Mus musculus: one gene and its partners. The protein of the gene in region 1 purifies or fractionates together with the protein of each later gene. This does not show direct contact. Links are inferred from orthologs where the notes say so. Each region holds a gene or a part of one and is shown on either strand. Other genes may lie near its edges.

The links.
Region 2: the proteins of Nufip2 (region 1) and Lsm12 purify together in Homo sapiens (affinity purification with mass spectrometry; 3 studies listed by BioGRID and IntAct, counting the BioPlex papers as one, with this or other methods). This does not show direct contact. The link is inferred for Mus musculus from reciprocal best matches to the Homo sapiens genes NUFIP2 and LSM12.
Region 3: the proteins of Nufip2 (region 1) and Rela purify together in Homo sapiens (affinity purification with mass spectrometry; 3 studies listed by BioGRID and IntAct, counting the BioPlex papers as one, with this or other methods). This does not show direct contact. The link is inferred for Mus musculus from reciprocal best matches to the Homo sapiens genes NUFIP2 and RELA.

The regions. Positions count from the first base shown.
Region 1 is NC_000077.6:77,688,044-77,693,265, forward strand, and holds part of Nufip2 (nuclear fragile X mental retardation-interacting protein 2), read left to right. Parts: intron 1-243; exon of another isoform or gene 244-288; intron 289-3,498; coding exon 3,499-5,211; intron 5,212-5,222. UniProt on the Homo sapiens protein: Binds RNA.
Region 2 is NC_000077.6:102,164,527-102,168,882, forward strand, and holds part of Lsm12 (protein LSM12 homolog), read right to left. Parts: intron 2,671-4,356; coding exon 2,561-2,670; intron 961-2,560; coding exon 834-960; intron 1-833. UniProt on the Homo sapiens protein: Nicotinic acid adenine dinucleotide phosphate (NAADP) binding protein. Confers NAADP sensitivity to the two pore channel complex (TPCs) by acting as TPC accessory protein necessary for NAADP-evoked Ca(2+) release.
Region 3 is NC_000085.6:5,639,915-5,645,136, forward strand, and holds part of Rela (transcription factor p65), read left to right. Parts: coding exon 1-36; intron 37-388; coding exon 389-520; intron 521-1,266; coding exon 1,267-1,371; intron 1,372-1,549; coding exon 1,550-1,762; intron 1,763-5,222. UniProt on the Homo sapiens protein: NF-kappa-B is a pleiotropic transcription factor present in almost all cell types and is the endpoint of a series of signal transduction events that are initiated by a vast array of stimuli related to many biological processes such as inflammation, immunity, differentiation, cell growth, tumorigenesis and apoptosis.

The DNA.
Region 1 (5,222 bases):
CTTTCCTGTTTCTTTAACTATGAACTGGAAGTGACTTGTCCATGTGGTTGTCACCAGCCCTTTACCTTGGACAAGACCTTTTTGGTGGTTAAGAGGCGTTTTGGTGCATTTTAAAACCGACTTCCATCCCCTAACTGAGTATTATTTAACATTAAATGTGGAGCCTTGAGCTACTTAAAATAAGCATCAAAGTTTATATATTCACACGTTTTGTTTTGTTTTGTTTTGTTTTTAACTGAAAAGGGAATGAAGAAAGAAGTGTTAAACTTAGTCTTTCAAGTAATACAAGTAAGTTACTGGTGAAAAACTTACTGTAGACAATATAACTTTGAAGGCAGAGCTGAGTGGATATCAGATTTTCTTTTGTAGGGTAGTAGGGACTGATGATAGAGCAGAAGTGTTTAATTGTAAGGATTTACAGCAGCCTAGAAACTTAGGAATTATGTAACTGTATTAGTTTTGCTTTTCATGAGGTGAGAAAGTATCAAGGTTGCCCAGTGGTATTGTTCACAGATTCAGAATTTGTCTTTTATGAGGTTTATGTATTCCCCACAGGGCTCCTCACTGCATAGAAAGGCAGACCCTGAACCATTCATTGAAGGTGGCCCTCCTCACAATGTGTCTTAACCTGGGATGAAGAATGAGGAGGGAACTGGGTTTAGGAAATTTAGAGGTTATTAACAGTTGGGCTCAGCGGCTTTCCCGTATGTGGTTTGGTCGTTGGGTACTGTGCTAAAAAATCTAGAAAATGCTAGGGAAATACTTAACAAGTTTTTATGAACCATTACTTCCAAAGCTATGAGAAACTGGTTTTCTGGATCCAGAAGAGGGCACAGGAGACAAAACATGTTGAGTAATTGCAGTGTCAAATCTAAAAGCTAGATTTATTTGGGACTCAAGTTTTGCTGAGTCCATTTGAAGTGGAGTTCTCATGGCACCCTAAATAATAAAGACACAGGGATTCTTTAATTGCTTTCTGTAATAACTACCATCTTCACATTTTTCTTAAATATCTAAGCTTTAAAAGGTACTTATCATACTTAGTGCATGTCAAGGCCATAGGGAGACAAATATGTAGTTAAGTGAATTTTTGTTTGTTTGTTTGTTTGTTTTCTTAATTTTCAGAGACAGGGCTTCTGTATAGCCCTGGCTGTCCTGGAACTCACTCTGTAGACCAGGCTGGCCTCGAACTCAGAAATCCACCTGCTTCTGCCTCACCTAAGTGCTGGGATTAAAGGCATGTGCCACCACACCCGGCTTGCCCACCTTTTAATATATATATATGTATGTATATATATATATATATATATATATATATATACACATATATATATATATAATTATGATTAATGAGCCAGAAGATACAGGTATTGCTTAACTTATAGTAGATGGTAAAGTAGTTCTTTCCTTGGTTGCCTTTGGTCCAGGCAAATCTATTGATTTGGGTCTCCCTGCCCCTAATTTTTGTTTTTGTTTGAGACAAAATTTCAGGGATACATATCTAGACTTGGCTTAACATTTTGCATTTTTTAAAAGAAAATGTTATAGAAAACAAAACCACATACTATTTTTGTCAGTTTTTAGAAAAATGGTAATGTAATGCTGGGAATATGGAATTAATTTTTTCCTAACTACTAAGGGTTGAGAATTGAACTTGATACATGGCAGTATGTTTGTTTCTGATGCAGGGCAGTGGCTGCACACATCTTTAATTCCAGTATTGGGAGGCAGAGGCAGGCAAAACTCAGTGAGTTCCAGGGTGGCTAGGGGTACACAGAAATCCTATGTCAAACAAACAAAAAATATTGTCTATAGTTGGTTTTTGTGCAACTGTGTTCTTTTCTGGAAGTTCATACAGAAGAAAAGTATTTGTTGTTTGATTATTGTTAGAATTGAGGGTTTCCCAAAGGTCTTTTGAGGTCATAAAACAATTGATAAAACTAATTGCTATTTTATTAGTGAGTAGAAAGCTGTGATTTAACCAGTAAATCACTTTTTAAAAAAGATTTATTTATTTATTCTATGTAAGAACACTGTAGTTGTCTTCTGACAACTCCAAAAGAGGGAGTCAGATCTCATTACAGATGGTTGTGAGCCACCATGTGTTTTCTGGGATTTGAACTCAGGACTTTTGGAAGAGCAGTCAGTGCTCTTAACCGCTGAGCCATCTCTCCAGCCCCCCAGTAAATCACTTCTAATAAGAGATAATTAATTGTAAGCTGATCAGTGGTGGCACACGCCTTTAATCCCAGCACTTGGGAGGCAGAAGCAGGAGGATCTCTGAGCTCAGTGATTTTGCATTCCAGCACAGTCAGGGCTACACAGAAAAACATGATTTTCTTAAAAACAAAACAAAACAAATGTTAGTTGTAAAAAGAAGTCTATGTTCAAGTACTTGACTGCTTTAGGATACTAAATTCATTTCATTGTAGTTTTGTGAGCATGAAAGTGTTGGAAGCAGGTAGGAAATTATGTGTCCTAGACAGATTCCTAGTTCTGTTACTCTGTGACCTGGATGTTAACATTTTCTCTCCTGGTGCTTTAACAACCAAGTAGAAGCTAAAAGTAAGAGAATGAGTCTTTTTTTTTTTTTTTTTTTTCCCCAAGACAGGGTTTCTCTGTGTAGCCCTGGCTGTCCTGGAACTCACTCTGTAGCCCAGGCTGGCTTTGAACTCAGAAATCCACCTGCTTCTGACTCCCAAGTGCTGGGATTAAAGGCGTGCATAAAGAGGCCTGGCTGAGAATGAGTCTTAAGGGTTACTACATATTTTTGTTTCATGTTTTATGGTATGCTGGGTTTTTTGTTTGTTTGTTTGTTTTTAAGGTTTCTGTATTATATGTAAGTACACTGTAGCTATCTTTAGTCATCCCAGAAGAGGAAAAGTCCACAGGTCTTATGGCTTTGTCTGAAATTCATTGGCAACTAGTCACTTTTAGCCCTCAGTATACTCTTTGGGGGTACAGGGAGGTTCAGTACTAGGGATTGAGTTCAGTGGTCATACAAGGGAGACAAAGGCCACAGCCTTATTTTTATTTTCCTTTTACAGGTTATTGTATCTGAAGTAGCACTGATTCTAAATAGTGTGTGAGACAGGGTTCCACCCTGTAGCTCAGGAAGGCTTCAATCATGCAATAATCATCTTGCTTCAGTTTTTCTAGCAGACTCATTGATATAATTCATAAGGTTTATTCTGTTTAGATAATTTAGAGGAGATTATGGCATGCTGCTTGAAAGGTCCTGATCTTTCTAGTTAATTCTGGCTACTGGCCCAGAAGATGGACCTGATATGAGTTGTGTCCTAGGTCTGCCTCTGCCTAGACATTGAACCCTGTATCATAATCTGTAAAAGTTTCTTTACATAAAGTTTCTTTACATAAAGATAAGATACAACAAACCCTACAATACAGCTTAGTATTGGGTTCAGTAAAGTTGTTTGGTCTTAGTACTACTGTGATTTAAATGTATGTGTTTTGTTTGTTTTTGTTTTCCTTCTATAGGCTATGGTGAAATAAACGGTAATGCTGGAGAAAGAGAAATATCTTTAAAGAGCCTCAGTTCTGATGAAGCTACCAACCCTATTTCCAGGGTCCTTAATGGCAACCAGCAAGTTGTAGAAACAAGCCTGAAGCAGACTGTAAAGACCAGCACCTTTGGAAAAGCAGGAATCAAAACCAAGAATTTTATTCAGAAAAACAGTATGGACAAAAAGAATGGGAAGTCTTATGAAAACAAATCTGGAGAGACCCAGGCTGTAGATAAGACCGATACCATAGCAATTCCAAATGGTGTTATAACAAGTAGTTCAGGCTATATTACTAATGGTTATATGAGCAAAGGAGCAGATAATGATGGTAGTGGATCTGAGAGTGGATATACCACTCCTAAAAAAAGGAAAGCTAGGCGCAATAGTGCCAAGGGTTGTGAAAACCTTAATTTAGTGCAGGACAAAATAATGCAAGAGACTAGTGTCCCAGCATTAAAACAGGGACTTGAAACTTTAAAGCCTGACTATAGTGAACAAAAGGGAATGCGAGTAGATGGTTCAAAGCCTATTTGGAAATATGAAACTGGACCTGGAGGAACAAGTCGTGGAAAACCTGCTATGGGTGACGTGCTTCGTAAAAGCTCTGATATTAAACCTGGTTTGAGTAGCAAAAAATTTGATGATCGGCCTAAAGGAAAGCATGCCTCAGCTGCTGCCTCCAAAGAGGACTCATGGACCTTGTTTAAGCCACCCCCAGTTTTTCCAGTGGACAATAGCAGTGCAAAAATAGTTCCTAAAATAAGTTATGCAAGCAAAGTTAAGGAAAACCTCAACAAAACTGTACAGAACTCCTCCGTGTCACCATCTTCATCTTCATCATCATCATCTACTGGGGAAACTCAGACCCAGTCTTCAAGTCGGTTATCCCAGGTCCCGATGTCAGCTCTGAAATCTGTTACTTCTGCCAGTTTTTCTAATGGGCCTGTTTTAGCAGGAACTGATGGAAGTGTGTACCCATCTGGGGGTCAGCCACTGCTAACGACTGCTGCTAATACTTTAACACCCATCTCTACTGGGACTGATTCTGTTCTTCAGGACATGAGTCTGGCTTCAGCAGCCGTTGAACAAATTAAATCTAGCCTTTTTATCTACCCTTCAAATATGCAAACAGTGCTGTTAAGTGCACAAGTAGATCTGCCCTCTCAGACAGATCAGCAAAACCTGGGGGATATCTTCCAGAATCAATGGGGTTTATCATTTATAAATGAGCCCAGTGCTGGCCCAGAGACTGTTATTGGAAAGTCATCAGATCATAAAGTGATGGAAGTGACATTTCAAGGAGAATATCCTGCCACTTTGGTTTCACAGGGTGCTGAAATAATTCCCTCAGGAACTGAGCATCCTGTGTTTCCCAAGGCTTATGAGCTGGAAAAACGGACTAGTCCTCAAGTTCTGGGTCACATTCTAAAACCTGGGACTACTGAGAGTGGAGCCTTATCCTTGGACCCCAGTCATATAGGTGACCTGCAAAAAGCAGACACCAGTAGTCAAGGTGCTTTAGTGTTTCTCTCAAAGGACTACGAAATAGAAAATCAAAATCCCCTGGCCTCTCCTACGAACACTTTGTTAGGCTCCGCCAAAGAACAGAGATACCAGAGAGGCCTAGAAAGGAATGATAGCTGGGGTTCTTTTGACCTGAGGGCTGCTATTGTATATCACACTAAAGGTAACTCATTT
Region 2 (4,356 bases), about 24 Mb from region 1:
GTTGTGAGCTGCCTTACATAAATTCGGAGGACAGAATTCAGGTCTTCTTGATGAGCAGCAAGTGCTCTTAACTGCTGAGCCATCTATCTCTTCAAGCCCCTTCTTCCTATCTGACATGAATACAGAAGGAAAAGCTAATGGGTAGGAAGATCAGCCCTTCTGTACTTCCTAAATCCACAACAGTGCAGGCCTGAGAGGTGGGCTTGGCGCTTAGGAGCACTCGTTCTTGTAGAGGGCCTGACTCCATTCCCAGCACCCAAGTGATAGCTCACAGCCAGCTAAAGCTCCAGTGTCCTAGAATCCCAATGCCCGCTTCTGACCTCCCTGGGCAGCAGACACATACACGGTGTACAGACTCCCATGCACGGGTGGGTGGTTGGATGGATACATATACAAAACACACCCAGGAAGTAAACTGAAAAACATAAAACAAAACCTACCAAAGAGCTGTAACAGTGGCCTTTAAACCATCAGATATTAAAAGTTGGTTTTCTACAACTGTTACACTCTAAAGCAGAACCTACGGTTCTTGACCTACAGTTAAGAAACCACCTGGTTCAGAGCCTATATTATTAAATGTGCTGTAATTCTGCAATTATGTGGTGTAAGACACAGGGCTGACTGCTCATCCTATCCCATACCACCAAGGTTTCTACTCCCAAATTTCCAAGACATAGCTGCAGAGCCTAGTGAGCAGGGGCATCAAGCAGCACTGCTAGGAGACATCACGACTGCAGGAGCACAGTGTCCTGCTCTGACAAGGGAGGACCAAGGCCAAGGGATACACACACACCCACACACACCCACCCAAACTCCACGGCTGCTTTACTTACTATTTTGCGTACATGGCTCAGTGCACTCCCCTCTTTGCCTTTACAATTTTCCACTTGATATGGGGGTGTAATAACAACTTCTTCCATGACTACAATGTTTTTTTCTTGCCATTTACAGTCTTTAATGCTGAAAGGAGAAGAACGCAGGTAATTGTGACATCCTGGGGACACCCCATTAGTTCATCTAATGAAGAACTAACTTCAGAGGCAGGCGCTGTGGCCCACAACTTTAATCCCAGCACTTGGGAGGCAGAAGCAGGTGGACATGAATTTAAAGCTAGACCAGGCTACAGACAAAGTTCTAGTTCAGCCAGGGCTACACAGAGAAACCCTGTCTAGAAAAGAAGAGAAAGTCAGAGATGGGTAGATTTCTGAGTTTGAGGCCAGCCTGGTCTACAGGGTAGGCTACACAGAGAAACCCTGTCTCGAAAAAAAAGGAGAAGAAGAAGAGGAGGAGGAAGAAGAGGAGGAGGAGGGGGAGGAGGAAACAATACCACTAGACTAGTAGGCTGACCCCAAGTTCTCAGCTCACTACTGAGCCAGAGCAGAGGAGACAACAAACATTCCCCAGGCATCTGTGGACAGGACAGCAACATCACTAATGCACATTATCTTAGGGAGAGGCCAGAACCGATAGTGTGAAGCACCAGGGCCTGGAGAATCATAAAACATTTGGTGGCTGGTGGCAGTCTCAGAAGCTCAAACCAAGTTACAAATGAACAACCAGACCTAACCCACTAGAACCGACAACTTAAAGGTCTAGAGCAGAGGCTGCCAACTGCTTTCTAGATGGTGTCAGGTCACAAGCAGCTACAGAAACCTGCCAACAGATGACACATATACAAGGGGCAGATCTGTCTTGCCGGCATAATCTGTTCACCCTTGACCTAGGGAAAAAAATAGCACTTCTAGAAATAATGATCTGTACTTTGCTTCCACCCAGCCTCTGCCCTCAGCCATGTAAGCTGCACTCCAACTGGCCCCACTCAATTACCATAGGTAAACACCTGCCAGACCAGGAAGATCCATTTGAGTTCACACATGGGGAATCCCAGGGCAGCTGATGCTACTGTGAGAATTCCTTCACATACCTGGAAATGCTCAGATACACCCGGCCCCAGACAGTTTTACAGCCAGCTGCCATCTGTGCATCAGACCCTGGGTGGTTAAACAGGGTAACAGAAGGCAGTGTGTGGGGGAAGGGGGGTTGAGGAGGGTGTCAAATGTTCCAGCTTTTCAGCACGTAGGAAGCTAGTAGAGAGTCAATGACTTCTGCTGTGACAACATGTGTTTTAGAAGGAGGTAAGACGGTTGCCTTCTGTTCTTCCCAACTCCCTGTGTTTGTCCCAAGGCAAAGTAGGGAAAGTGATAGAACTTCCCTTAATAAAACCACAAGCTATCTTAGAGGCAAGGATGGCAGTAACAACAACAAGAAGCTAATCGTGAGCTCTAAATTATGGATTACTATTACCAGAGAGCCTTACAAAATAATGCAATCCCAAATACGTTTTCACAAACAGAAAGATTGCAATGACTGATTTAGGATCACAGTATTCTGTGCAAAGGGAGCTCCAAGCACCACATCTCTGGATGCCAATAAGCTGCCAACAGCTACCCTCGCTGCCCTGGTACACTTTCAGCAAGACAACCACCCAGAAGCCTTTTGTCCAACAGCCAACCTGACAGTATCAGCTCTAGAAATAGGAACCCATGCTCCCCCAACTCACGTCTTGTGAATGGTCTGGAAGAGCTGTTGGCCCTCCAGGGAGACACCAGCGCTGATTGCATAGGCCTGGCTCAGCTTCTCCTCCTTCTCCGTCCGTGCTTTGCTGGCAAGCTAGGGTGAGGGAGAGAAAAAAAGACTCAGAAAAGTGTTTTCCTTCATTCTTTCCAAGTCAGAGGAAGCAGGTCAGCAAAGATTGGTCTAGAGTCAGCATGACTAGAGAGCCAATGAAACAAACAACACCCCCCCCCCCCAACGAATACAGCATCTAGTTACTGCATGCAGTTCCTGGCCATCACCCCTCTTTTCTATTCTTCCCGGGGGGGGGGGGGCTTCCTATGTGCCAAACATGTACTGTGCTACGTTAGAGATTCATCCCAAAGAGAGCGTGAAAACACAAGGCAACTCCAGTGAAAAAGAACAGGAAAATGAGCATGGGGACATGCAGTGTGATAGGGTCGGGGTGGCTCTGGGAAGTGATAGCCATGGAGAAATACTATCACACACTTCTACTTAAAGAAGAGAGAGTACAGGTCACCCACTACTCCGCTAAACTCAGGTTTAGAAACCAATGTGCACTTTAACAGACAAGAGCTGAGACCCAGCTCTTGGCAATCAACGCTCAGCTTCTCCAGCACCATATGCTCATCTAATAGCCCGGGACTGAGCAACCCTAACCCACTTTCACCTGAGCTGGGGGCAGCTATGCCCCATTCTGCTCTGCACAAAAAAGAATGGTGTGAATTCTACCTTGTGCCTGCTGCTTCACTACCCCCGGTGGATCAATCTCAAACTGAACAAAGGAAATTCTAGTAAAATCTGGTAGTCTACTAAAATGTCAGACTCCTTCTGGCAAGGGTGGGTACCCTGTCAACCTATATTGTCCCACCTTACACTATTACTTGCTAGAAAAACTTTCAGTGTAAGACAAAACAAACGTGTTATACAAGGCAGTTAAGAAAAACAGGCACAGCCAGGCGTGGTGGCGCACACCTTTAATCCCAGTACTCAGGAGGCAGAGGCAGGTGGATCTCTGAGTTTGAGACCAGCCTGGTCTACAGAGCAAGTTCCAGGTCAGCCAGGACTAGAGAAACCCTGTCTCAAAAAAACCACAAAACAAAAACCAAACCAACAACAAAAGAAAAACAGCAAATAATGCACCTGAAAGCCAGGAGCGTGATCTACAGATGCTTCAGTCATCAACACAGCCCATACGTACAATATAAACGTAAGAAAGCTGCAGCACACCACGTACACACAGTAACGGTAAACACTTATGTCATCACAGAGGGCTCGCTCACACATGCTCTCATTTTTAGCCTCTCCAGGTAAAAGCAGAAACATGACAAACCTCTCCTGTGATTTGAAGCCAGAGATCACCTGGTCTCCAGATATAGACAGATACAAATATGAAGCAGTGTAGTAATTAATTTTCAGGCTTGGCTGCTGTTCTGACCCATCAGACTACAACTTCACAGAGGAATCAATGTACTCTGAGCAAGTCAATTCCAACTGAAGTGAGAAAGCCTGGAGCTTGGAAACAGAGTTTCTATGGAAAGAGAACTGCTGGTGTGTATTTTAAGCAACAATCAACGGCTTTTCAGGAACCAAGAAAACCCTGGTAACAAACCACGAGGGGTTTCCTTGAGTCTCACTTTTCAAACAATGTCTCAGAAAATGAAGTCTCCAAGGAAAGGAGAATAAACCAGAGGGCAGTGGCCCCTTCCTGAGCCCCTGAGGGCCACAGCTCCTTCCCTGAGCTATGCTTCGCCTCCTGGACAATGGACTCAACTACTCTAT
Region 3 (5,222 bases), on another chromosome or scaffold:
GCCAGCGAATCCAGACCAACAATAACCCCTTTCACGGTAGGAGCAAGGGGCAAAGACATTGATCTTCGTGTGGTGCAAGTATCTCTGTCACCTTCCCTGGGCCTCTGCCGCTCATCTCCCTCCATGGCCAACCCAGCAGCAGGAGTGGAACCTTGCTGCCAGCTTGGCACACACTCACACTCTGCCGTTGAGAGTCAGGCCTAGAGAGGGCTCCTGGAGAGCCGTGATGGATCTAGGGTCTTCCTCCCCTTAGACTTCTGTTTTACATCTCCTCAAATCACCTTCCTCTTTCCTCAGAGCTCCCTGGCCCGTCCCCCCTCCCCCACCCCCAATGCCTTCCACCACAGTGTTTTGTTTTTTGTTTTTGTTGTTTTTTTGTTTTTGACAGTTCCTATAGAGGAGCAGCGCGGGGACTATGACTTGAATGCAGTGCGCCTCTGCTTCCAGGTGACAGTGCGGGACCCAGCAGGCAGGCCCCTCCTCCTGACCCCTGTCCTCTCACATCCGATTTTTGATAACCGTAAGTGGCCGGCTGCAGTAGGGATGAGGGCGGGCTTGGGAACTGAATGGGGACCGGGTGGGTGAGGCCTGGGAGAAGAGCTCTGGCTTCCTTCAGTCATCCAGCGCCTTCCAGCTGTGCTGCAGGGGGTGGGGTGGAGAAGACCCAGAGCTGCCCTGTGACTGAAGCGGCCAGGATGCCCAGGAGCCTGGTGGGAAGTGACTGCTTCCCATATCTGGGGTTGGGAAGCTGGTCTGCCAAGAACTGTGCTCAGGACTTTAGGAAACAAGCTCTCAGAGACCAGATCCTTCTAGACAGCAGGAATTCAGCTGTAGCAGCTCCCAGGAAGCTCTCAGATGACCTGGCTGACTTTGATGGATTGCAGTCTTTAGCAGCAGGGTAAATTAAAGGAAAACCAAAGGGCTTCAGAGTCCTAAGAACCGGAAGCCAGGACTAACTGGAAGTGAGGCGGGATGAACCGAAAGCTGAAACTGTGCCGCTAAGGTGGAGGGCGGCAGGTGTGGTCAGAGTGTGTCCTCTGGACTGGAGGATCTCTGGAGAACAGGGACATCCGGCCTTCAGTGTCCCTTCACCTAGAGCCATGCTACCCGTACTGCAGAGAGACTGATCGGGAATTGCCTGACATAGAGAGCAGACAGCAGCGGTCTGCAGAAGTGTGGTCAGCAGGCTGTGGCCTGGACGTGGCGGGCTGGGCGTGGCGGGCGTTAGAGCTCCTGCAGGGTACCCTGAGACCGCTGATGTTTCAGGGGCCCCCAACACTGCCGAGCTCAAGATCTGCCGAGTAAACCGGAACTCTGGGAGCTGCCTCGGTGGGGATGAGATCTTCTTGCTGTGCGACAAGGTGCAGAAAGGTACACACTGGACTCTGCACGGAGAGGGGAGGGGTGAGGCTGAGCGGAGGTGATGAGTGCCAGCTACCTCAGCGGCTTCAGGGAAAGCAGGTGATGTCACAGGGAAAAACATCAGGTGTTGAGGACAACAACCAGTTGGGTCACACATACTAACCCATACTGCCACTGTCTCCTGCAGAAGACATTGAGGTGTATTTCACGGGACCAGGCTGGGAGGCACGAGGCTCCTTTTCTCAAGCTGATGTGCATCGGCAAGTGGCCATTGTGTTCCGGACTCCTCCGTACGCCGACCCCAGCCTCCAGGCTCCTGTTCGAGTCTCCATGCAGCTACGGCGGCCTTCTGATCGCGAGCTCAGTGAGCCCATGGAGTTCCAGTACTTGCCAGACACAGGTGTGACAGCCGCCGCTGCGGAGGGAGGGCAGGGCCACAGCCGCTGCTGCAGAGGGCGGGACCAAAGCCGCTGAGCCCCAGCTAGGAGAGAGACCAGGGCTGGGTGTCTGAGGCCAGCACTAGGGTTTAGATATGCTGTAGTTCATAGCGTGTAATGATTTCTGTCAAAGGCAAGCCACATGGTGGTCCCATCAGACTACACTGTCTAATGACAAAGGTGTCTCAGTGTGTGTAAGTACCCTTAAGACATTTGTGTAATAAGCTGGGTGCTCCAGCAGCATGTCCAACCTGAGAACTGGTGGCATGGTGGCTCTATCAAGGTGTTCCGGAAGCTGGCCATGGTGACTGGCCCTTAGGCCCAGCACTCAGGAGGCAGAGGCAGGCAAATCTCTCTGAGTTTGAGACCAGCCTGGTCTACAGAACAAGTTCTTGGCAAGCCAGGGCTACATAGTGAGATCTTGTCTCAAATAAATACATAAGTAGATGGATGGTTGGATAGATGAGAGAGAGAGAGAGGGAGGGAGAGAGAGAGAGAGAGAGAGAGGGAGAGAGAGAGAGAGAGAGATAAGGTAGTTGGAGCTGGAGTGGTGGCAGAGTAGTTAAGAGCACTTGCTGTTTTTCCCAGCACCCACATGGTGGCTCACAACCATCTCTAAGTCTTATTTCCAGGGCGTCTGACACTTCTGAACTCTACAGGCACCAGGCATGCACGTTTTGCACATACACACAAGCAGGTACAACAGTCATACACAAAAATAAGCCTTGAAAAACAATCAGGTGAAGAGTGGTCGAGCTTTGCCCTCAGCATGCTCATGAGCACATCTACACATGCATGCACCTCCATGAACACACACACACCACACACGTGTACACACACACTATAATAAGAGATGTTCATACAATGACAGATTTGCTAAACAACATGTCTTAGGATGTGTCCCCGTTGTTAACATTTAGTTACAGTCAGAATCTGCTTCTTATTTAACAGTGACACCCACCGTGCTCAGCTCTGTCGGCTAGATCTGCCCAGAGTGAGCACAAGCGAACGACTTGACTTTAATCTCTCAGCACTTTTCATGGGAAGACTTAACTCACCAGCAGTTCGAGGCAGTGGTACATCTGAGCCAGGGTCACTTGGCTCTATGGACTTTTTGCCACCTTCTGTCTCTTGTCACTACCATATGACCCAGCTTCATTTTGCTCAAGGCTTAGTGCACCACTAAAGCCTGTCCCGGGTGCTGTACATAAGAAATCAAGTGAGGCAGGAGCCGGAGGGATGGTTAAGAACACTGGCGACACTTCCAGTGGACCTAGGTTTAATTTTCAGCACCTACATGGCATCTGGTAACCTTGTATAACTCCAGTCTCAGGGCTTCCATGCACAAGGTGCACAGACATGCTGACAAAACACCATACACATAAGCAAAGAAATATTTGTTTGTTTGTTTGTTTGTTTAATGATTTACTTATGTATGTGAGTACAATGTCACTGTCTTCAGATACACCCAAAGAGGGCATCACTACAGATCCCATTACACATGGTTGTGAGCCACCATGTGGGTGTTGAGAATTGAACTCAGGACCTCTGGAAGAGCAGCCAGTGTTCTTAACCACTGAGCCATCTCTGCAATCCTGTTTTTTTGTTTTAATGAGACAGATTCCTTCCTCTTCACCAGCTCAGTGAGGAGACAGATGTGTAAATGATGTGCCAAGTGAGAAAACAATGGTGCAGAAAGCCGGCCGAGGTGGCGTTTACCTGGGAGGATCCACAAGTGTAGTTTTCATTCTAGTGGCCTAGTCCTGGAAGGACAGAGTTGTTGGGGAATACACAGCTGGCTCAGGGACATCGTGGTGGAAACTGTCTTCAGACAGTGAGCAAGCCCAAAAGATGGCCCTGTTAAGCTTAGTCATATCTGAGGTTTCATTCTGAAAGCAGCAGGGATGCATCTAAGATTTCTTTCTTTCTTTTTTTTTTAAAGATTTATTTATTTATTTATTATATGTAAGTGCACTGTAGCTGTCTTCAGACACTCCAGAAGAGGGCGTCAGATCTCGTTATGGATGGTTTTGAGCCACCATGTGGTTGCTGGGATTTGAACTCAGTACCTTTGGAAGAGCAGTCAGTGCTCTTACCCGCTGAGCCATCTCACCAGCCCACATCTAAGATTTCTAAGCAGAGATTTGACGTGAGCATATCTGGAAGCTCAGCCTGGCTTCTCTGAGTAGAGTGTTAGAGATGGAGAGGGGCAGGGGCGTAGCTTAACGAGGGCTTGCCTAGCATGTACGAGGCCTTGAATTCAGTCCCTAGTAACCCTCAAACCAGGTGTGGTGCTGACACTTGTAACCCAGCACTGGGGAGGTGAAGACAGGAGGATCGGAAGTTGAGGGCTAGTCTCAGCTACATAGGAAGTTTGATGCTCTCCAAGGCTACATGAGATCTTGTCTCAAAAAAGACAGAGTTGTCAAGCTGAGGACCTCTGTTTAACCCACGTGATCAAAGGAGACAGTTCAGAGTGTGACAGTTCAATGTGTGACTCTCACACATTGTCTCTGACCTCTTGTTGCAACACACATGCACACATGAATGTTTTGGGGGCTTTGGGGTTTTTTGTTGTTTGTTTGTTTTGTTTTTCGAGACAGGATTTGTCTGTGCAGCCCTGGCTGTCGTAGACCTCACTTTGTATGCCAGGCTGGTCTTGAACTCAGAGATGCACCTGCCTCTGCCTCCTAAAAGGCATATACCACCACTGTTTGGCCACACACGCACATAAATGTAATAAATTAGGGTGTTTTTTTTTTCCTGTGGGGGTGGGGTGGGGGAATTGAGACTTCAACAGCCAAAAGGAATCCTGGCACTTTTGTTGTTTTTTGTTTTGTTTTTGAGACAAGGTTTCTCTGGATCCTGGTACTTTTTAAGGTCCCCTTTTGATGACTAAATCTCTGTGTGCTTACTCATCTCCAGTTGCTAGTAGGTGCTTGGCAAGTGGTGTTGAGTTAGTATTGGAGGATTGAAAGAAAAAATGATGTTCAGAATTGTTCCAGGTTGCAGTTTGGGTGCCAGGACAGACAGGGAGACACAGGGGAAAGAAGCAGTGCCCTGGTGTGAAATACTGCTTCACCTAGACGGTGTGCAGCTGAGGTGGTCAAATAATTCTGAAGCTTCAAACTAAAGGAAGAAGCCATACACTGAGCTGAGTCTGGAGCCTTCGGCCTGTGATGCTCTGCCCACAGCACTTCCCTCTCCACCTACGTGGATGCTTCTGTGAGCAGCTCAGATGGCGTGCTAGGCTCTTGTCCCCCAGAGCAGGGGTCAAGACAACCAACAAGGCTGGCTGTGTGGCCCACACCTTTAGTTACAGCACTTTGGAGGAAGGGCAGTGAATTTCAGTGAGTTTGAAGTCAGCCTGGTCTGGTGTGTGTAGTTCCAGGACAGCCAGGACTGTATATAGTGAGACAGTCT